2 linked regions of the Oryctolagus cuniculus genome follow. The protein of the gene in region 2 purifies or fractionates together with the protein of the main gene of each other region. This does not show direct contact. Links are inferred from orthologs where the notes say so. Each region holds a gene or a part of one and is shown on either strand. Other genes may lie near its edges. The genes, in order: NEK2 and CDC26.

Evidence for each region.
Region 1: the proteins of CDC26 (region 2) and NEK2 purify together in Homo sapiens (affinity purification with mass spectrometry; 3 studies listed by BioGRID and IntAct, with this or other methods). This does not show direct contact. The link is inferred for Oryctolagus cuniculus from reciprocal best matches to the Homo sapiens genes CDC26 and NEK2.

Annotation. Positions count from the first base shown.
Region 1 is NC_091444.1:26,238,804-26,249,372, reverse strand, and holds the end of NEK2 (serine/threonine-protein kinase Nek2), read left to right. Parts: intron 1-627; coding exon 628-754; intron 755-1,581; coding exon 1,582-1,819; intron 1,820-3,881; coding exon 3,882-4,007; intron 4,008-6,297; coding exon 6,298-6,524; 3' UTR 6,525-7,061; downstream 7,062-10,569. UniProt on the Homo sapiens protein: Protein kinase which is involved in the control of centrosome separation and bipolar spindle formation in mitotic cells and chromatin condensation in meiotic cells.
Region 2 is NC_091432.1:216,875,613-216,887,280, forward strand, and holds the start of CDC26 (anaphase-promoting complex subunit CDC26), read right to left. Parts: upstream 5,315-11,668; 5' UTR 5,081-5,314; exon of another isoform or gene 4,628-5,080; intron 3,322-4,627; 5' UTR 3,219-3,321; intron 2,630-3,218; 5' UTR 2,590-2,629; coding exon 2,509-2,589; intron 1-2,508. UniProt on the Homo sapiens protein: Component of the anaphase promoting complex/cyclosome (APC/C), a cell cycle-regulated E3 ubiquitin ligase that controls progression through mitosis and the G1 phase of the cell cycle.

The sequences.
Region 1 (10,569 bases), on a different chromosome or scaffold from region 2:
TCTTGCAATGGCTTCTGCCTTTTGAGAATCTGTGCTAGCGAAAGTATCTTCTCATCTGAAAGCATTGTACGTTGGGTTAAAATTGAGGTAGATGGACAAGATAGACAACATAAACACTGCAGGATTAAAAATACACCCCACGAAGCTGGGCCTCGGCATGGCCGCTGCCTGTGAGTCCAGCACTTGGCTCGGGAGTGCACACCTAGGCCAGGCAGGTGCGGGAAGCTACTGTAAGGGTGGGGAAGGAGCTGCAGATCTCTCCCGCTTCCTTTGTCTCTGTCTTCTCCTTCTAAACTCCTCTGTGGAGCCGTGCTTCCCTCGCAGGGGTTGCGGGAAGCAGTCTGCCTCCATGGGGCATCATCATTGTCTGCAGTACTTCTGGTTGTCACAGCCAGAGTGCCACCGGCACCCGTGGGGGTAGGCCAAGGGTGCTGTAAAACGCCCTTGAATACATGGAAGATCATCCACAGCAAAGAGCTAAGTTACTACCAGTGTCGGTGGTGCCAAGGTTGGGAAACTCGCTATCGGCAAAAATCCTAGTGGTAGAAATGCAAATACAAACTGTACTTTGGATTTGGTTCCTAGCATATATTTTCATTTTTACTTTTTTTTTTTTTTTAACTCCAGGCCTCCATTTACAGCTTTCAACCAGAAAGAACTAGCTGGGAAGATCAGGGAAGGCAAATTCAGGCGAATTCCGTACCGCTACTCGGATGAACTGAATGATATTATCACGAGGATGTTAAATTTGAAGGTAAAGGTCTTAAGATTTTGCCTTGTTTCTGTCTCAAATCCTGCGGTCTGTGGTCTCTTGTGGAGTGATGGAGAATGAAACACCCTGGATCGGATTTCCTTAGCTACATGTAGCCGGTTCAGTCAATCGGGCACATTGCGCACCCTTGCCCCTCTCCCCTCTGCACGGCCCTGGTTTTCCCTCCCACTCTCAGCACGCTGACAGGTGGTTGGCAGCAAGGAAGGTAACAGAAGAGAGCTGGATCCTCGGTTCCCCTGGCTTTGCCTCCCTCTCCGAGGCAGGTGGTGGGGAAGGGCCAGGGACGGGACTTTCCTGTGCTGCCTCCAGCTCGGGATGAGAGGGGAGAGCGCAGAAGAGGAAGGGCAGGAGGAGACAGCAGAAGAGGGGAAGCCACAGGGATAAGCGGATTTCGTGGAGAAACTTTGAACGTGGGATGGAGGAAGGAGGCTGAGGTGAGGGGGAGGGAAAGTGCCCCAGGGTCGCAGAGGACACAGGCGGAGTGGGGGGGGGAGGAGGCTGGTGAACGGGCGTCCTGTGCCCTTTCGCCCGGAGATGCCAGGACAGTGCTTGCCCCAGGGCTACCAAGCACCAGCACGAGGTGTGCCGTGGTACTTCGAAGGGGGAAGGGATGGGTTGCAGCTGCGTGACCCCATGGACCCGGAAGCTCATGGGTGAAAACCGGCAGTGAGCTTGTCTTTGAGCTAAGAGCTGTCCAGAGAGGAGCGCTTTCTTCTGCTTCGGCGGCGCGTGCCCTTGTCGTGTCAGGCTCCCTTGGGGTAGCTGTCTCGCCGGGCCCTCTGACTGCAGCCTCAGTACTGTGCCCCCAGGACTACCAGCGGCCCTCTGTGGAAGAGATCCTGCAGGACGCTTTGATAGCGGACTTGGTTGCCGAAGAGCAAGGACGAGCTCTTGAGAGAAGAGGGCGGCGACCAGGAGAGCCGGAAAAGTCGCAGGAGTCCAGCCCGGGGCTCAGCGCCGGCCCCGGGCTCAGCGAGCTGAGGCTGAAAGAGCTACAGTTGCAGGAGCGAGAGCGGGCCCTCCAGGCCAGAGAGGACCGACTGGAGCGTAAGTCTAAGTCGGGAAGGCGGCGGGGGTCCGGGGCGGGGAGCCCGCACGAGGACGCTGGATATGCGTGGATATTTCCGTGAACGGAACATGCGTGGGGCTTCTCTAGAACCTTCCTGTGTGTTCCAGACTAGATCATCAGACTCGCAGGCGCTTTCGCCTTAGATAGCTTTCTCTCAAATCGGCTGCCAGACACATTTTGTTTTACTGTAGAGTTGATTTTTTTCTTATCTTTAAGATAAATACCCTAAAGTTTTTTGTTTTGTTTTGTTTTTGTTTGTTTGTTTTTTAAGATTTTAAAAATCTATTTGTAAGGCAGAGTGACAGGGAAAGAGGGATCTTGCACTTGCTGGTTAACTCATGCCCAAACGGCTGCAACAGCTAGGACTGGGCCAGGCCAAAGTGAGGAGCCGGGAACTCCATCCTGATCTCCCACCTAGGTGGCCGGGGCCCGTGTACTTGGGCCATCACGGGCTGCCTTTCGGGTGCATTAGCAGGAAGTTGGATCAGAAGCAGAGCAGCCAGGACTTGAACTGGGCTCCAGTACGGAGTGCCGTAGTCGCAGGCAGCAGCTTAACCTGCTGTGCCACAGCGCCGTCCCTGTGAAGTTCTTCCATGGTGAAAGAAGACCTTGGGGCAAGCCTTTGACACAGCAGTTAAACTGCCTCTCGGGACTCCCGCCTCCCGTGTCGAGTGTCTGGGTCGAGTCCCGGCTGCGCTCTGCAGTCCAGCTTCCCAGTAATGCACACTTTGGGAGGCAGCAGGTAAGAGCTCACGTTGCATCCCAGCCACCCACGTGAGAGACCCAGATGGAGCTTCTGGCTCCTGGCTTTGGCCTGGCCCAGCCCTGGCTGTTGGTGGCCACTGGGAGAGTGAACCAGCAAATGAGCACTCTGTCTCTTGTCTCTGCATTTCCAATAAAAGATCATAAGTAAAAAGGTTTTCAAAGTTGCTGCCTTCCATAATAAAAACCATGACTTCTACCTTGTGCAGGGTCTACGCCAACACAGTTCCGGGTCTGAAGTCCTGGGAGTGCCTAGGAGTGAGCTACCCTGAGGCAGTTGGGCATATGGGTGTGAGATCGCCTAGGTTAATAAATAATACCTGCTGGGTGTTGGCGCTGGCTCCATGAGTGCTGACTGATACGGTGCCAGTTAGTCTGTGATGCTGCAAGTCTGTCTGCGCCACCCAGAGCTGCCAGTGCGATTTTAGGGCCATGCGAGGCAGCGGCAGCAGTGGAAGTCTTCCCGTGAACACAGGAGACGAGGGCTGGGGCTGTGGCCGCCTCCTGCTGCCCCCTGGCTCACTGACTCTGCCGCTGCAGCTTTAGGCACCATGCAGGCTCTAAGCTCTTTAATGCTTAAATGCTCTCGTAACGCACACGGTGCGTTTGTTAACATTTTCCTCCCTGACGCTAACGGCAAAGTGCCGTCGAGGAACGGGAGCTGGGCTAAATCCAACCTTTGCTCACCGAGAGACTTTGTTGACTCCTCCAACCAAAGAATTCTGCAAAAAATGAAAATAAAAACACAGGCATCATCTGAAAATTGGCCCCCGTGTCCGGTAACCTCCCGCGGCAGCTGAAGCGCGAACACTGAATTTTGGGCCGGGAGTGGAGTTGCCATCGTTTCTGTTTAGAGCTGCTTGCTGCTGCCTTCCCTTCCACTCGGTGCCGTGCACCAGCCAGCAGAGGGAGAGTCCGTCCCCACTGTCCCCACCGTCCTGTCGCCGCCCCGGCCAGGAACTGTCGCTTGTTTTCAGTCACAAGCAGACATGGTTTTTGTGTTTACCCTCTCAGTCAGCTCCCACACAGCCTGACCCAGGGTTGGAGCTAACGTCGTTGGGCTTAAACAAGTCCTTGCAAGAAAACCCAAGCTGACCTACAACGAATCAGAACAGAGGCTCTAGCATACTCGGGTTGAGCAGGGACTCTGCTAAGAAATCGCTCTCAAAGCATTGCTACTCAGGGCCCAGGCACCTAGAGGTAGTGATTAGAAAGAGCAGTAAAACAACCAAATGTGAATTGTCGTGTTTTTTTTTTTTTTCCATGCCCCTTTTATAGAGAAGGAACGTGAGCTCTGTGTCCGTGAGAGGCTAGCAGAGGACAAACTGGCTCGAGCAGAAAGCCTGGTGAAGAACTACAGCTGGCTGAAGGACCGCAGGCTCCTGTCTCTGGGGAGCAATCCAGGTATGAGAACCGACTCCCTAACCCGGAGCTGGTGCTACCAATGAAGACGTGTGCCGGTGGCACCCGAGGTGGCTTTGCTAACCCTCCTAATGTACAGAGTCCCAAGTACATTCAAGGTGGATTTCCTTGAATTGATGCATATCCATGGAAATAAAATTCTATTATGGTGATGATTTATTGACTGGGTTCATTGACCTGAGGCAATGAATCGTAGGACTTCCTCTTAGGTTGAATTCACATGATCAGACCCCGTGGTTAGTGTTTGACATTTATTTTTAAAATTTGAGCACGTTTAAAAACTGCATTTCAGAGTTTTGCTCTGGTGTATTTTCAAAACTCTACGTCTCTCTATATTTTCAAGTGAAAATCCTGGCGTTTTAACACTGGCACACCTCGTGCTTTATAGAAAGGGTGGCCTAAAAGGCACGTTCCCTGCCAGTTGGGTGTTTTTATACTATTTATTGCAGCTTTCCTGGACTCCACACTGCCCTCTGACGCCAGACTAGACTGACTCGTGGTTAGGAGGGTAAAACACAGAGGGAATCACACCTGCGGGAGCCTCCGCGTGGGAGCGGCTGCAGGCCCTCAGCCGGGGTTGCTTACATCCTGCCCGCATAGGAGTTGACCAGAGGGTGAAAATAGCTCGATAAGGATGGGGGTTCACCCTATAGGACACAGGGGTAGGTGTGGGATCCACTGTGTGTGAATCACGGCCAGTACTTAAAATGAGCTGTGGGAGCTGTGACTCCGCTGGGCTGGGAGGCACCGAAGGCGCTGAGCCGCTCAGAACATGAGATGCACACCGGGGCCGTGAGGAGTGGGCGATCCTGTGACCTCAGGACAGCAGGAAACACCCTCACCCCACCCTCGGCCTACAGGATCCAGACGAGCGGAAGACATCACGAGTCTGTCCAGTTCAACACCATGAGCCTCGGCAGCTTTTCTTAAAAATCATTCTTTGTCCATTTAGCGGAATACCCATTCTTCTATTTTTTTTAAAAAAAGATTTATTTATTTGTTTGACAGGCTGAGTTACAGAGAGAGAAGAGAGACAGGAAAAGAGATACCTTCCATCCACTGGTTCACTCCCCAAATGGCTGCAATGGCCAGGGCTGGGCCAACCAGGAGCCAGGAGCTTCCTCCCTGTCTCCCACGTGGATGCAGGGGCCCAAACACTTGGGCCGTCTTATACTGCTTTCCTAGGCCATTAGCAAGGGGCTGGGTGGGAAGTGGAGCAGCCGGGGCTTGAACTGGTGCCCATATGGGATGCCGGACTGCAGGTGGCAGCTTAACCCACCGCACCACAACGACACCACGACAGCCCTTGTGAAACAGGAATTCTTTTTCTAAACACTTGGAGCACTCCCGCACCCGAAGTGGGTGCAACCGGCCCGAAGCACTCCTCAGCCCAATGGCCCGATGGCCCGTGCCTCTGACCGCCTCACTTTGATCAGATCTTCCCCCAGAAGTCTCAGTAGGAGGCTTTTTCTGTCACCACAGCCACCGCCCAGTTCGTCTGTCCCACTGCACGTGACGCTGTCACTCACTCCCCCTCTGCACTTGTTCATTTGTTTATGGGCGGCCTCCTCCCGCTAGGATTGGGTCTTTGTTTGGCTCCCAATGCCCCATGCTGTGAGTTCAGTAAATACCTGAACACATTTCCTCTAAGGGCACACAGAGGAGCAATAACAAGGTTCTGGATTCTGAACCTGCACGCCCCCAGCCCCCGACCTGGTCTGTCCGTCTTCTGGGAGCAGTGTCCCGAGTCCGCATGCATGGGATTGGTCTGGGTCGCATACAAAGCTCAGGCCTCCTTTTCCACTGCTCTGCTCCTGGATTTTCCTTTCTCACGCTGAATTGGCTTAGGCTCTTTTTGAAATAAGTTTCTGGTGGATTAAACTGCTTTGAGCTGAGGGTTCTTGAACACTTAAATCTGTAAAAAAGGAGCTTCTGCGGCTATGCCTTTCTGAGTGTGACGTCTTGCATAGAATGGCCGTTGTTTTTAAGAATAGCAATAAATCACACTGGCTTCCAGAAGTCTGATGTTGTGGCCATGGCCCCTGCGCCTTGCCGCCTTGCCGGTGAGAGAGTAGACACATGTTCCTTGATGTGGACACACTCCAGGGTTGGTTTTCAGTGCGGTGGATTCCTGCCGGCCCAGAGACCGCGGACCTCCAGCTGCACCCCGGGAGTGGCCGTCCTGTGCTAAGTGTGGTGAGTACGCAGGAGTGGAGCTCCCATTCAAGTAACTCACAACCCTTTTCTTTTCTTTTTCCTTTTCTTTCTAAAGAGCTTCTCGATCTTCCATCCTCAGTAATTAAGAAGAAGGTTCATTTCAGTGGGGAAAGCAAAGAGAACATCGGGAGGAGTGAGGACCCCGAGAGCCATCTCACCTCCAAAGCCAAGTGCAAGGACTTGAAGAGGAGGCTGCACGCTGCCCAGCTGCGGGCTCAGGCCCTGTCGGATATTGAGAAAAACTACCAGCTCAAGAGCAGACAGATCCTGGGCATGCGCTAGGCCGTGCGCGCCAGCCCCTTAACCATGGACATCCAGCTGCTGCCGCTTGCTGTGCTTGGGCCACGAGCCGTGGCTTTGCGTGTCGTGAGCCTGATGCTTCAGAGTCGCCGTGCTATTCTACAGCAGCCGCTGTACGAGCGCCTGGGCTGTGTCTTCCTTCCTTCCAAACCTGGCGTCTAATCCTGTGCGTGCCGTGACTACTGCTTAGGAGCGTGAGCTGTAGCGTTCTAGATCTCAGGGGAAAACACACGCACGCAGGAGTGGCACGTCCTGGGCATCTTGAATGTCTGCGGGCTGCGCTGAACAGTTGCCGTGTGTAGTTTTAAGGGTGAGACTTTGGATGTCCTTGAACTTAGAGAGCTGAATTGAATGTAATTCAGTCACTGTACCAGCGCATCCTGCTCCCGACTGTGCCAGTGCAGTGCGAGCCGTTACCTTTGTGAGCTCGTGGCTGGGATGACTGCTCTTTTGGTCCCTTTTGTTCTCTGCTGTTCACCCCCACCGTTGGCCACTAAATAAAAGAGTCCTTCCGTTTTGCTTCTGTCTCCTGGATTCTGTGATCTCAGTAGGATAGAGGGAAGCGTGTTTGTAACTTAGGGGCCTTGTAGAGTAGGGAAGAGAACGCGACTCTGATGTCAAGAGGCCACTCTGCTCTTCCGTGGGCGTGGCTCCCCACGAGCCGCCTCCCTGGGGCACGGAGGCCAGGGGTCCTGAACCGCATGATTTGCTCCTGCGGGTGTTTGGCCTGGAGACCCTGCTGATGGTCATCACTGGGGACGTTGCTGCTGGTGCGGGGGGCAGAGAGTGGGCGTGTCGCGCAGCCCCTGCAGTGCACAGGGCAGCCAGCCCCGACGACGGCTTCCACAACGGCCCCTGCAGGGACCCAGCCTGAGCCGGAACCTGCTGGGGCACACCCCCCCACCCCCTGGGAGCAAACTCAGTTTGGACGTTGGTGAGTGTTTTAAAAATACGTCTGCCTTTTAGTGTGCGTTAGCAGTCCTTGTGGTCCATCGCGTTTTCCATGTGGTGTTTTGTGGGCAGTGTTAATCCTTTTGTACAATAAGACCAAATTGTGAAAGCTCAAGAAGGAAGAGGAAATAGCTCCTTTATGTGTTACACAATTGGTAATGTAATCCCACCAAAGGCAAGTGATGACGTTATCCAAACCATCAGAAACTGACGGTGCCTTTATGGTGTATGCCTAGGGGACCATTTTGACATGACTGTTGAGTGTGACTTCCAGCCTGCTCTATAGCTTGCAAAGCGCAGGCCTACGGAAACCGTGTGACCCGTCACAAAGCAGCAGCCGACTCCCATCCAATCCTTAGAGAGTTCGACCCTTTCTTCTAAGCTGTCTCTGCTCAATGTGCGCTGCCTTACTATTTGCTATTCTAAGTAAAGAAGACATTGTTAATGAGCACCAATACTAGTCCTCTTTATTTAGCACAAAGCCAGCATCCAGTGCAAAAAGCAGAGCACTTAGCTCACGTGTGGCACCACGGAAACGACCCCATTCCTATTTTGCGGCGCTGGCCCTGAGGGAGCCCTATGAAGCTGGACCTTTAGAGGCATCAGAGACCCATGGTTCCGACATTAGCTTCATCCTCCCAGCCCCACTCCAGTCACCAGACCTGTGCAACGTCGGCTCTTTGGAAGCTGAGGCAGACTTCTTCCTGTTCCGTAGGCCACTGCCCCAACCCCTGGCAGGGAGACCACCCCAAGGACCTTGGTGCCTCCAAACGGGAACCTTCTTTGTACCTGGATCAGCGTGCCAGGATGGCCCTCGTCAAGACATGGGCTCCACTGGCTCCACTGGCCATGGGGGGAGGAGAGATGGATGGGGGCAGCTGGTGCTCTGCCCTGTCTTGAGATGCTTTGGGGCCGTCAGCCTTCTCCTGCCGGTGTGCAGGGCCCTGCTGGGAGAGCGGTCAGGAAGCATGGCAGAAAGGGGAGGGGGCGGGGCCCAGGGCGCCAGGGGCAGGAGAGTCTGGGAGGTGGCAGGAGATGGGACCATGAGACAGCTGAGACTGAGTCCATTCCCCACTGCCACCCATCTCCCCCTCCTCCCCACCCCATGCTCCATCGTCCGTCAGATTTTTCCTACAAAAGATAATTCAAAGATACAACTATTATGAATTTCAAGGCTGCAACCACAGACAACCAGACACCAAGTGCTGGGCCTGCTGCCTGGTCAGTTACCTGTGAAACCTGCCTTTGGAAAATTCCTCTCCTATCATAATGTTTTTCCCTTTCATTTTGAAACCTGTAGCATGCGAGGTGGTTGGACACCTTCCCAGCCCAGATCCCACCTTTATTTCATTCATTCCAGCAGTCACTCAACAGTTACTGAGCACCTGCTGTGAGCCAGGCACTAGGAAAGTGCTGAAGATCAGCCACAGAGACACTGGAGTCCTCACCCTTACTGTTATGCATCCCAGTGGGCCAGGGCATTAGACACTCAGCCCCACGTGGGGCAGGCTAGGGGTCGCACAAGGAGGGGAATAAAGCAGGAAGGAACCGCAGGGGCTGAGGGCGTGTCGCGGTGTTAGAATTAGCAGCATGTCAGGAAGAGGAGAAGCTAAGGAGAGGCTGGGGTGGACCAGGAAAGGAAAGGGGGGGGGGAGGGGTTGAGTTGGGTGGGGGAGCTGTGGAGGAGGGATGGAGGGAAGGGAAGACCGCAGGGACCAGGGTGGGGGGATTGGGCAGAAGTTTGGCAACCGAGCGGAGACTTTTTACGATCGGTTATGCATCCTCTCTTCTCACTCTTACAGCCAGCAAAACTTGGCTTCCCTGCTAGGGCCGAGAACCCCCGAGGTATTTGAGCAACCATGGTAGATAGAAGGGGGGGGGGGCTTTTGGATGAACATTTGTGTTCTCCCAAATGCTAATGAAACACCTAACACTTAGAGAGTTTATGTGTTTGCCCTATGACTACAGCCAAACTCAGCGTGCACCTGGTTAAAAAAAAAAAAAAAGTCACTGGATTTGCGAAAGAACAGGCAGCAGCTGTTCTGATAGACACCACAAGGTGGCGCTATGGTCTGAGAGACCAGCAGCCCCAGCGCTTGGCAGTGACGGGTTTTACCGCAACCCCTGGTTACATCTGCCTGGTATCTGGTTCAGTTCTCAAAGCACCCCTTTGAGATAGATATCATTAGTGTCAACGTTTCACACAGGGTACAGCTAGTTTCTTTACTTTTTTTTTTTTTTCAGAGGCAGAGAGAGAGAGATTCCATTGTCTGATTCACTCCCCAAATACCCATGATGGCTGGGACCACCTGGGTTAAAATTGGGAGCCAGGAACTCCATCTAGGTCCTCCACGTGGGTGGCAGGGGTCCCAACTGAATGAGGCATCACCTGCTGCCCCCCAGGGTGCAGGGCAGTAAGAATCTGGGATCGGGAGCAGAGATAGCCATCCAGGATCCAGGACTCTGGAGTGGGTCCAGCAGGGTCTTAACCACTGGGCCAAACGCCCGCCCACCGCTGGGTTCTGAACCCACCTTTTTGACTCCAAAGCTCGTGCGTTGTTGGTAGCCCACTGCTGCCCAGGTGCACCCTCCCCTCCAGACCAGGTGCCTCCCTTTAGGCGAGAGAGTGCCCTCAAAGACTCACGCATGGGCTGCCCGCTGAGCATGGGTGAATGGGTGAACAGAATTGGGTGAATGGAAGCAGTGACATGGGGCAGCTGTTCCATGAAGAACGACAGGGGCCAGGTGTGTGGCGCAGCAACTGAGTCTCCTCTCGGGACACCCGCATGCCTCGCTGGAGAGCCTGCTACTCCGCTTCCGATCCGGCTTCCTGCCGACGCTAACCCCGATGATGGCCCAAGTTCTGGGGCTCCTGCCACCCCCCTGGGAGACCTGGGTGGAGTTCCTGGTTCCCGGCTTTGGCCTGGCCCAGCCGCTGCTGTTGCAGGCATTTGGGGAGTGAGCCAGTGGATGGAAGATTCTCTCTCTGTCTCTCTGATGTCTCTCTTTTTACCTTCCGAATAAAATAAAAATAAATGAACTTGAAATTAACAAAAAACAATAAAGAGAATCGAGG
Region 2 (11,668 bases):
GAGCAACCGGGACAGAATCCGGCGCCCCGACCGGGACTAGAACCCGGTGTGCCGGCGCCGCTAGGTGGAGGATTAGCCTAGTGAGCCGCGGCGCCGGCCATCCCTAAGAAGTTTTAAACAGTGGCATGACATGTCCTGAAATTTTTTAAAGCTCATTCTACAGCCGGTGCCGCAGCTCACTGGGCTGGTCCTCCACCTGCGGCGCCGGCACACTGGGTTCTATTCCCGGTCGGGGCGCCGGATTCTGTCCCGGTTGCTCCTCTTCCAGTCCAGCGCTCTGCTGTGGCCAGGGAGTGCAGTGGAGGATGGCCCAAGTGCTTGGGCCCTGCACCCGCATGGGAGACCGGGAGGAAGCACCTGGCTCCTGGCTTCGGTCGGCGTGGTATGCCAGCCGCAGCAGCCATTGGGGGGTGAACCAACGGAAAAGGAAGACCTTTCTCTCTGTCTCTCTCTCTTACTGTCCACTCTGCCTGTCAAAAATAAATAAATAAATAAATTTTAAAAAGCTCATTCTACGTACTTGAAGGAAAATGGGTTGAAGAGACAAAAATGGAAGCAGAAAGACCATTTATGATGCTGCCGCAATTACACAGAGAAGCAAGCAGTTGGACTAAGTTAAGACACCATGTTTAGGGGCTGGCGCTGTGGCATAGAGGGTATAGCCACTGCCTGCAGCGCCGGTATCCCATATGGAAGCCGGTTCAAGTCCCACCTGCTGCTCTTCTGGTCTAGCTCTCTGCTATGGCCTGGGGACCAGCAGATGGCCCAAGCACTTGGGCCCCTGCACCCACATGGGAGACCTGGAAGAAGCTCCTGGCTCCTGATCGGGTCAGCTCTGGCCATTGCGGCCATTTGGGGAGTGAACCAGTGGATGGACGACCTTTCTCTCTGTTTCTCCCTCTCTGTAACTCTCTCTCCCTCAAATAAATAAATATGTAAATCTTAAAAAAATTAAAAAGACACCCATGTTTCACATGGAAAGAGCTGGGAATGCAACCCACGTACCAGACCTGGGTTCCATTCCTGACTCCAACTCCTCACTCCCAACTTCCTGAGGACGGAGACCTGGGAAGCAGCAGTGATGGCCTGACTAACTGGAGTTCCTGCCATCCGCATGGGAGACCTGGATTATGTTCCCAGGTCCCCTCCCCGCTTCGGCCCCAGCCCAGTCCCAGCTGTTGCAGACATCTGGGTAATGACCCAGTAGATGGGAGTGCACTTGCCCTGTGTGTGTGTGTGTGTGTGTGTGTGTCTGGCTCTCAAATAAATACCTATGTGTGTGTGTACATAATTGTATATAGAGAGATAGTTGCTTGGAGTAGTACTGTTAACACTGCATATGAAAAGGAATGCATAAATCTAGATATATTCTGGAGGTAGAATTAAAGATTTATGGGTAGATTAAATATAAAGTGTGGGACCAGCGCCATGGCCAGTAGGTTAATCCTCCACCTGCGGCGCCGGCATCCCATATGGGTGCCGGTTCAAGTTCCAGCTGCCTCTCTTCCTATCCAGCTCTCTGCTGTGGCCTGGGAAAGGAGTGGAGGATGGCCCAGGTGCTTGGGCCCCTGCACCCACATGGGAGACCTAGAAGAAGCACCTGGCTCCTTCGGATTGGCACAGCTCTGGCCGTTGCAGCCATCTGGGGAGTGAACCAATGGAAGGAAGACCTCACTCCATCTCTCCTCTCACTGTCTGTAACTCTACCTCTCAAATAAATAAATAAAATTTTATATATATATATATGTGTGTATGTATGTGCATATATATATATATATATATATATATAAAGTATGAGGGGAACAGACTGCAGAATCGCTGCCAGGTTTCTGGCCTGAGCAATGGAATCGCTACTGAAATGGGGAGCACTGGGAGGGTCAAGGGGGTACACCAGGTTTGAGAGGGAAAATCAAGTTCTTTTTCTTTTCCAATATGTATGGCTTATAGGCTAAATACAGCCTCCAAAGCTATCAGGTCCTAATTCCTGGAACCTGTAAATGTCACCTTATATAGGAAAAAGGCCTTTGCAGTGGTGATAAATTAAAGATCTTCAGATGGGTACATTATCCTGGATGAGCCAAGTGGGCCCTGAATGTAATCACACATATCCTTGTAAGAGGGAGGCCGAGGGAGGTATCGCAGACAGGACAGGGGAGACAACGTGGCCATGGAGACACAACTGGAGTGAGGACGGTGGCCGCCCGGAAGCCAGCAGGGCCAAGGAAGGGATTCTCACAAGTGCCTCTGGAAGAATGTGGCCCTGCTGACACCCTGATTTCTGCCCAGCTGAACAGATTTCCCATTTCTGGCCTAAGGAGTCATGTAAGAATAAATTTCTGTTGTCTTGAGTCACTGAGTTTGTGGTACTTTGTTAGAGCAGCCACAGGATCTAACAGTAAAAGTCTGAGATGCCTGCAAAGGAGACAAATAGAGCTATTGGTGTAAGAGTCTGGAGTTCACAAGTTATTGTTTTAGCTATTCCTAAGGGTTTGAAAGTTGCACTCTTACCTCTAGGTCCTTTCGAATGCTCTCAAACTCTTCAATGTCATCAAGCTTGAGCTCCAAGCGCGTGGGTTTCCGTCGCAGCATACTGAAATCTACACTGAGAGCAGATCCAATCAACTATGAGCTATTAAAAATGACACAGAGAAAAACTGGAGGTGATACGTTGCAGTTACATACATAAGGCCAATTTCTACACATGTACACTAAAGTGAAGGCAATAGCAAAATCAAACTTGGATTCACACATAGATCTCTTTCTTTTTTTGAAAGGCAGAGTGACAAAGAGATGGAGAGGCACAGAGAGACAGAGATCTCTCATCCACCATAGTTCACTACTCCCATGGCCACAGTGTCTCTGGATGAGCCGGGCCAAAGCCAGGAGTCAGGAGTTCCATTGTTGTTTCCCAAGTGGGTGGCAGGGGTTCACACACACCGGCCATTATCTGGTGCTTTCCCAGGCACATTAGAAGGGAGCTGGACTGGAAGCAGAGCAGCCAAGACTCTGATATGGGATGCCATATTGCAAGATGTGGTTTACCTTCCGTGCCACAATGCCAGCCCCACACATAGATTTCTTAAGGCTTTAGGTGTATGCTTCTTACATTTGTATTTCATGATGGAGATCCACAACGCGGTGATTCAAAAACCTCTTTCTGAAAAAACTGAACACCAGCAAGCTGCCTATAAGAAAATTCTAGGCAAAACTGAACTCACCAATTCACAAGATTCTCTTCAGTGTCTCAATCAACCAGACAGATCATTCATTAGCAAAGACTTCTTGTGCTCCGGCTACAAAATTAAAAGGTACAGACACAACCTGTGGGAGAAACAGACACGTGAGGGGAAAATTAACAGCGAGGGGAGCAAGAACACTGATGAGAATACAATGGCAGCCATGCTGGCCCGAAAGCTGGACTAGGTGTGGGGTGGTGGCCAGGGATGTTAAACACGGCCTATGGCAGGAAATGATGTCTAAATGGAGTCTTAGTCGACATCTAAAGAGCAGGCAGAGAGAACAAGTGCACAAAGAAGCTCAAGAGAACAGTCTGAGTCAAGACAATACTTTTAACAAAAACCCTTTCTTTGAGCAAACAGAACTCCCCATCACGTTTAGTATCTGTTGAGGGGCACCTTCATGGCACCCAACAGAGTCTGTGTATGTACATTAGGCAGTCAGTAAACGTTCCCTGAATATAGGAAACAACTAAAGTAAAATGAACTTGAGTGAGCACTGGGCTAATTTTTCCATCACCATTCTTCACTTGCTTATTTTAATACGAAAACCCTGTGAGGCTGGCAAGATCGTCCTATTTTACAGAGAAAGAAGTCAAAGCAAGCTGTCCAGTCTGGCCTCCTGTAGGAGTCACACATAGGACCGTGGGGTGAGGATTAAATGAGACTGATGTAAATGAACGCCACTGGCTGTACCCAGGATGAAACCGGGGACTGAGAAGTGCATAAAAGAAGAAACATTTCCTCCTCCTCCCATGAAGCCTGAGACAGACACGCAGTGGTAACACAAAACATTACTTTTTTTTTTTTTTTTTTTTTTTTTTGCGGCTCACTAGGCTAATCCTCCACCTTGCGGCACCGGCACACCGGGTTCTAGTCCCGGTCGGGGCGCCGGATTCTGTCCCGGTTGCCCCTCTTCCAGGACAAAACATTACATTTCAATTTGCTTTGACTTAAATCTGATACTGTCCACCAGATTCCAATGCCGACAAGCAGCAGAGGAAAACGAAGTTCCAAATGGGGTGAGGAAGGGATACTGAGAAGATCGCTATGCATTTTAACTTTTCTGCGAAAACGAAAAGCCCACCACCACCACTAGGAAGCAGGGTAGAGACCCGGCTGAAGTGCTGGCTCCGATCCCTTTAAGTTTCCGATCTTTGTCTCGCACCAGACCTTCCTTGCCTCTATACTCTGTTGCTGTCTGAATTGAATGGCGTAATGCCGATTAAGCTCCTGGCTACACAACTGTGGTATTCAGTAAACGCTCAATAAATAACAGGCACTTATGACTGCAGTTGTTGGGGGCGGGGGGCGGAAGAGATAACGATGGGGGAGGGGGGTGTTCCAGCTCTGCAAACACGAACATTTTGAGTCTCCCACCCACTACATGCCTTGTTCATCGCTGATGCCCCCGCACCCAGAGGAGCACAGGGCTATGCAGGAGAGTCGGCTGCGGTCTACCCGACGCCTTCCTAGCCATCATCTCACTCAGTCTGACACAAAGACCCGGCTGAAGACGAAACAAAAGCAACAGCAAAACCGGGCCGAAGCTTCGCCCGCTCTTTACTTCACTTAGACGCTAGAGGGCTCTTTGAGCTTCATCTCTCACCGCTGCCCAAATCCACCGCAAACTGAGCCAGCTCGGCCGGAGCCCCCGGCCCCGGGAGGACTTTCCTCCCCACCCCCACCCCGACAACCCTCCTCGCCCAGCCCCAGGACCACACTCAGCGGTCCGGGCGATGGTTTCCATGGCAACATGGGCCTCCGCCCCGGGACGACGTAAAGTCTCTAGGAGCCCTCGGTAAGCTCCAGAGTTCAGCGCCCGGCCGCGCGACTTGACTCACCTTCCTCTCTCTCCAAGCCCGCTCAGCCCCTTCCCGGAAGGAACCTCAGCTCCCACCACGAATCTACTGCGAGCCCAACTGGACTACACTTCCCAGAGTGCTTCGCGCCCCTCTCCCCTCCAGAACCTCGTCTCCCGCGAGCTTTTCTCGGAGGTTCTAAGGGTCATGCCCCTCCACGCGACCAGAATAGTAACTACTACGACTCCCATGATGCTCCGCGCCGCTCAGGGCGCTGCGTCGGCGCCCGACTTCACTTCCGGTCCGTGACGTAGTTCCGCTTTGCTGGGCGCGCGGTGGATGGTCTGAAACGGAGAGCTTGGCTTTTTCTGGGGCTTGGCTGCTGCGGAGCCCAGCATGGCTTCGTCACGAGCGTCCTCCACGGTACGGAGCTCGGGATCTCAGTTCACTGCGGCAGGGAGCGCCGAGAGGGTGGGGGTCCCTCGGGGAAGGGTCCGTTAGGGAGCGGGCTGACAGGGTGGAGGGCTGCCGGACTCGGTCCTGCCCTCCAGAGCAGAGCAGCATTCCCCGGACCCTTGAGCGAGTGTATGTGCTGTTACTCGTATGCACCTGTCCCACCGCAGCCCCGAACGGCAAACACCACTTCCGACTGGTCCAAACCAGGGCTCCGGAGTGGGCGAGTGTCTTGGCCACGGTGGCTGTCTATAGGAGACCTCGGAATTGGGATGAGGCCTCCCGGCTCCTGCTCTGCTACCACAGGTCTCAAAACGCTTGAGATGGACCGAGCAGGAGCGTTGTCACTGGCTACCCCTCCCTCGGCACCACGCCGGTTCTTTTACCTTACCCTTGGTGTTTCCCCCCGTGTTAAACGGTAACCCTGGAAGTATCACGAAACCCAAAAAGAGCTTGCACTTCCAACAGAATGAAGTGATCGTCTTCCAGAGGCAGAACCACCCGGAGAACCGGGTTTAATCCACCTCTTCAAGCTGTCAAACTGGAAGTGATTGAAGGGCTGACGTGCCCTCCCGCCCCCATCCCCACACCCGCGGGTCCGTGAAGCGCATCTTCCCTGGCGCCCAGTTTGGCCTTTTGTTGGGGGAGGTCAGGATGAACTTCACCCTTTAGGGAAGCCTCGTGGATTGCTAAGATCGAGCCTTGAATTAATCGAAGCCTTCGGTCTAGCAGGCCACCAAAACGAAAGCGCCTGATGACCTGGTGGCTCCGGTGGTGAAGAAGCCACACATTTATTATGGAAGTCTGGAAGAGAAGGAAAGGGAGCGGCTGGCCAAAGGAGAATCTGGGATTTTGGGAAAAGAAGGACTTAAAGCAGGAATTGAAGCAGGAAATATTAATATAACCTCCGGTAAGATGACAGATTTCAGTCCATCTTTACCTTTACCTCCAGTTTTCTGTAATGCGTGCCTTCCTCAGCTTAGATAGCTGTAGTTTTATGTTACAAGTTTTCAATTTTTAAACTTGAATCTATAGACTCATATTTTGCTTACACTACCTAGCATCATCCAGGAGCCTTTTTTTTTTTTTTACAGAATTTTTTTTTTTTTTTTTTTTTGGACAGCCAGAGTGGACAGTGAGAGAGAGAGACAGAGAGAAAGGTCTTCCTTTGCCGTTGGTTCACCCTCCAATGGCCGCTGCGGCCAGCGCACCACGCTGATCTGAAGGCAGGAGCCAGGTGCTTCTCCTGGTCTCCCATGGGGTGCAGGGCCCAAGCACTTGGGCCATCCTCCACTGCACTCCCTGGCCACAGCAGAGAGCTGGCCTGGAAGAGGGGCAACCGGGACAGAATCCGGCGCCCCAACCAGGACTAGAAGCCGGTGTGCCGGTGCCGCAAGGCGGAGGATTAGCCTAGTGAGCCGCGGCACCGGCCCTACAGCTTTTAATATACTGTTTTTCCCATGAATTATTAGTTCTTTTACCAGAAATTTTTTCAGTGCACATTTGGGATTTAAGTGGTTACATTTGTCTCTTGGAGAGCTAACATCATTCCAGCTTTGGTTTGAAACTAGAATAGTTTATAATGCTCTCCTGTTTTTAGTTCTCCAGTTATTTTTTACCCCCAAAATTATTTAAATATAAAAGTAGCAGTTTGTTATTTTGAAAGATGAAATGATGTGAGCAGGTGTTTGGCCTGGGGGTTAAAATGCCACTCGGGATATTTGCATGCTCCAGTTCAGCTCCCAGCTCCGCTTCAGGTTCCAGCGTCCTGCTGATGCACACCATAGGTCCAGGCTAAAGTGCTTGGACTCCTACTGCCCATGGGAGACATCCAGATTAAGTTCCAGGGTCCTGGCTTGGACCTAGCCCAGCCCTGGATGTTACAGGCATTTGGGAAGTGAACCAGCCCAAGAAATATCTCTCTCTATCTCTCAATCAAAAGGAAAATAAGTAAGTAAACATTTTTAAAATGAATTGATTAAAAGATCATACAGTGTATAAATGTGCAGAGTAAGAAGTCCTGTATTCTTTAATATCTTTAAAAATTAAAAAAAAAGTTTATTATATTTATTTGAAAAAGCTAGAGAGAGAGATTCTCCATCTGCTGGTTCACTCCCGAAATGGCCACAATGGCTAGAGTTGAGCTGATCCAAAGCCAGGAGCCAGGAGCTTCTTCCAGGTCTCCCACGTGGGTGCAGGGGCCCACGGACTTGGGTCATCCTCTGCTGCTTTCCCAGGTGCATTGGCAGGGAGCTGGATCAGAAGTGGAGTGACGCAGACTCGAATTAGTGCCCATAATAGGATGCCGGCGCTGCAGGCCAAGGCTCACTGTGCCACAGCACCGGCTCCTCTTTATGCTTTTCTGTATACACCTTTCTGAGAATTTTGATACAGTTAGAAAAATACATAGTTTTTTCCATAAGTGAAATTGTGATACATAAATTATTTTGTAACCTACATTTTTCACCCTACATATTGTTAAGGATATCTTTTCCTGTCAGTAACAAGCAGACCACTTTTTTTTTCAATAAGGTTTCATAGCACCAAGCCTGTTTTGTTTTTCTTTCTTTTTTTTTTTTTTATTAAAGATTTATTTAATTATTTGAAAGTCAGAGTTACACAGAGAGAGAAGGAGAGGCAGAGAGAGAAAGAGAGGTCTTCCATCCGCTGGTTCACTCCCCAGTTGGCAGCAACAGCCAGAGCTGTACCAATCTGAAGCCAGGAGCCAGGATCTTCTTCCGGGTCTCCCACACGGGTGCAGGGGCCCAAGGACTTGGGCCATCTACCGCTGATTTCCCAGGCCATAGCAGAGAGGTGGATCGGAAGTGGAGCAGGTGGGACTCAAACCAGTGCCCATATGGGATGGCGGCACTGCAGGCAGCGGCTTTACCTGCTAGGCCACCACGCCAGCCCCATAGCCACTCTGTTTTTCAAATAAAATTATATCCATCTGTAGTAAGAAATTGAAAAAGGGCATGAAGTGAAGACGCCTTTCCTGAGACCACTTGTGTGGAGTTTCTCGTTGGTCCTCCCACTTGGCTGCTCTTCCTCATACGTGCACATCTGTGACTCTAAACCTTTATGCTGTTTCTAACACCTGTTCTGAAACACCACCGTACCTCTGTTTTCGTCCAAATGCTTCTGTTTGTAAGGTTTTTACACTAGTTGCTAAATAAAACAAAAAAACTCATAGTCACAGAAATCTCATTTTCATGACAGTTATTTCCAGGTAACTGATCAGAGTTGGTAAGTGTCCCTAGTCGGGGACTGTTTTAGAGAATAGCATTGGCAGTTGTTAAAATAACATTTCTTTTTGTTTGTTTTAAGATTTATTTCTTTATTTGAAAGACAGTTACAGAGAAAGAGGGAGAGAGAGGGATCTTCTATACGCTGGTTTATTTTCCAAATGGTCACAATGACCAGGCTGGGCCAGGCTGAAGCCAGGAGCCCAGAACTCCATTTAAGTCTCCCATGTAGGTGGCATGGTCCTAAGTATTTGAGCCATCTTTTGTTGCTTTCCCAGGCTCATTAGCAGGGAGCTGGATTGGAAGTGGAGCAGCAGGACTCATATCAATGCTAGAACTGCAGCTTAACCCACTGCTCCACAAGGCCAGCCCCTAAAATAACATTTTTGTCATATCTTTTTGATAGAAGGCTTGGTTAATTCATTTGCTAAAAATGTTCTCTACTCTTGGGGCCTGCACTATGGTGCTATGGGTTAACACACTGCCCTGTTGCACCAGCATCTCATATGGACACTTCCAGTGCAGCTCTCTGCTAGTGCACTTGGAAAGCAGTGGAAGATGGCCCAAGTCCTTTGGCCCCTGCATGCATGTGGGAGACCCAGTTGAAGCTCTGGCTCCTGGCGTCATCTGGCCCAGCCCAAGCCAGTGTGCCATTTGGGGAATGAAGCACGGAATGGAAAATATGTCTCTGTCTCTCCCCTCTCTCTGTAACTCTGACTTTCAAATAAGTAATTTTTTTTTTAAGATTTATTTATTTATTTGAAAGGCAGAGGTACAGAGAGCGAGAAAAAGAGACAGATCTTTTATCCGCTTGGTCATTCCCTGAATGGCTGCAATGGCCAGAACTGAACCAATCTGAAGCAGGGACCAGGAGCTGCTTCTGGGTCTCCCACATGGTTGCAGGGCCCCAAGAGCTTGGGCCATCTTCTGCTGCTTTCCCAGGCACGTTAGCAGGGAACTGGATCAGAAGTGGAGCAACCAGGACTGAACCAGCTACCCAAATGGGAGGCCAGCCCTATAGATGGCACCTTTACCCACTATGCCACAGTGCTGGTCCCAAAATAAATCAGTCTTTAAAAAAGAAGAAGAAGAAGAAGGGACCAGCGCTGTGGCGCAGCGCGTTAACGCCCTGACCCGAAGTGCCGGCATGGGTGCGGTTCTAGTCCTGGCTGCTCCACTTCCAATCCAGCTCTCTGCTGTGGCCTGGGAAAGCAGTAGAAGATGGCCCAATTCCTTGGGCCCCTGCACCTGCGTAGGAGACCCGGAAGAAGCTCCTGGCTCCCGGCTTCGGATCGGCGCAGCTCTGGCCATTGTGGCCATCTGGGGAGTGAACCAGCAGATGGAAGACCTCTCTCTCTCTCTCTCTCTCTCTGCCTCTCCTCTCTCTGTGTAACTCTGACTTTCAAGATCTGGTGGTTATGTTGGTGCTGCCTGTTCTCTTTACAGGAGAAGTATTTGAAATTGAAGAGCACATCAGTGAGCGGCAGGCAGAGGTATTGGCCGAGTTTGAGAGGAGGAAGCGGGCCCGGCAGATCAACGTTTCCACAGATGACTCGGAGGTCAAGGCTTGCCTTCGAGCCCTGGGGGAGCCCATCACGCTGTTTGGAGAGGGCCCTGCTGAAAGAAGAGAAAGGTGCCCTTTCTAAATAGTTATTCATTTCTTTGTTAATCACAAGATCTTGTTTCAAGTATTAGTTGATCTTTTAACTGAAACTTTAGTAGTGTTAACAGTATCTACTTGACATTTGTGTAGTTTAGCCCATAATCCAAATCTTGGGCCAATCTTTGCTCCACTAATATTTCTTTTTAGACTGAAGAGGGTACTAACATACTGCCCTCCACTCCCCAGTGTGAAGTTTTGAGTTGGATAAACATTTGGTTTTGAGCTTTGAAATGTAGACAGCAAATGCATTTCCTGTTGGTGACAAAACATAATGATCAGTGTTCTTTGGATGCTTGAGAGGGGCACTGCCCTGAGATGATGCTCCTCTTGCGATTTTAAGGTTGCAGTCTCTTGATGATGGGCTGGTTGTGTGCAAGGACAGGACCTCCATCCACTGTCCCATCTCCTCCCTTCGAAAGGTTGCTTATGTTTATTCTCTTAGGTCCTTACTCCTCATCTTCTCTTCAGCCCTTTCACACTGTTGAGCCCTACCACACTGACATTTATTTATTTATTTATTCATTTATTTTTTGACAGGCAGAGTGGACAGTGAGAGAGAGAGACAGAGAAAGGTCTTCCTTTGCCATTGGTTCACCCTCCAATGGCCGCCGCGGCCGGCGCACCGCGCTGATCCGATGGCAGGAGCCAGGTGCTTCTCCTGGTCTCCCATGTGGGTGCAGGGCCCAAGCACTTGGGCCATCCTCCACTGCACTCCCGGGCCACAGCCAAGAGCTGGCCTGGAAGAAGGGCAACCGGGACAGAATCCGGCGCCCCGACCGGGACTAGAACCTGGTGTGCCGGTGCCACAAGGCAGAGGATTAGCCTAGTGAGCCGCGGCACCAGCTGAAATTGTTTTTGATTAAGGTTGCCAGCCCATCTTTACTAAAAACAGCCCAGTACACTCCGTCCTTGAAGCATTGCCTTTCCTTCACTCTCCTATAACCAAGTCCTCTTGATTTTCTTCTGTTCTCTCAAGCTAATTCCTCACACTTTTTTTTTTTTAAAGATTTACTTATTTATTTGAAAGGCAGAGTTAAAGAGAGGCAGAGACAGAGAGAGCACTCACTCCCCAGTTGGCTGCAACAGCCAGAACTGCGCTGAGCCAGGAGCTTCCTCCAAGTCTCCCCTGTGGTGTAGGGGCCCAAGGACTGGGCCATCTTCTGCTACTTTCCCAGGTGCCTTAGCAGGGAGCTGGATCAGAAACAGAGCAGTCAGGACTTGAACTAGCACCCATATGGGATGCCAGCACTGCAGGCAGTGGCTTTACCT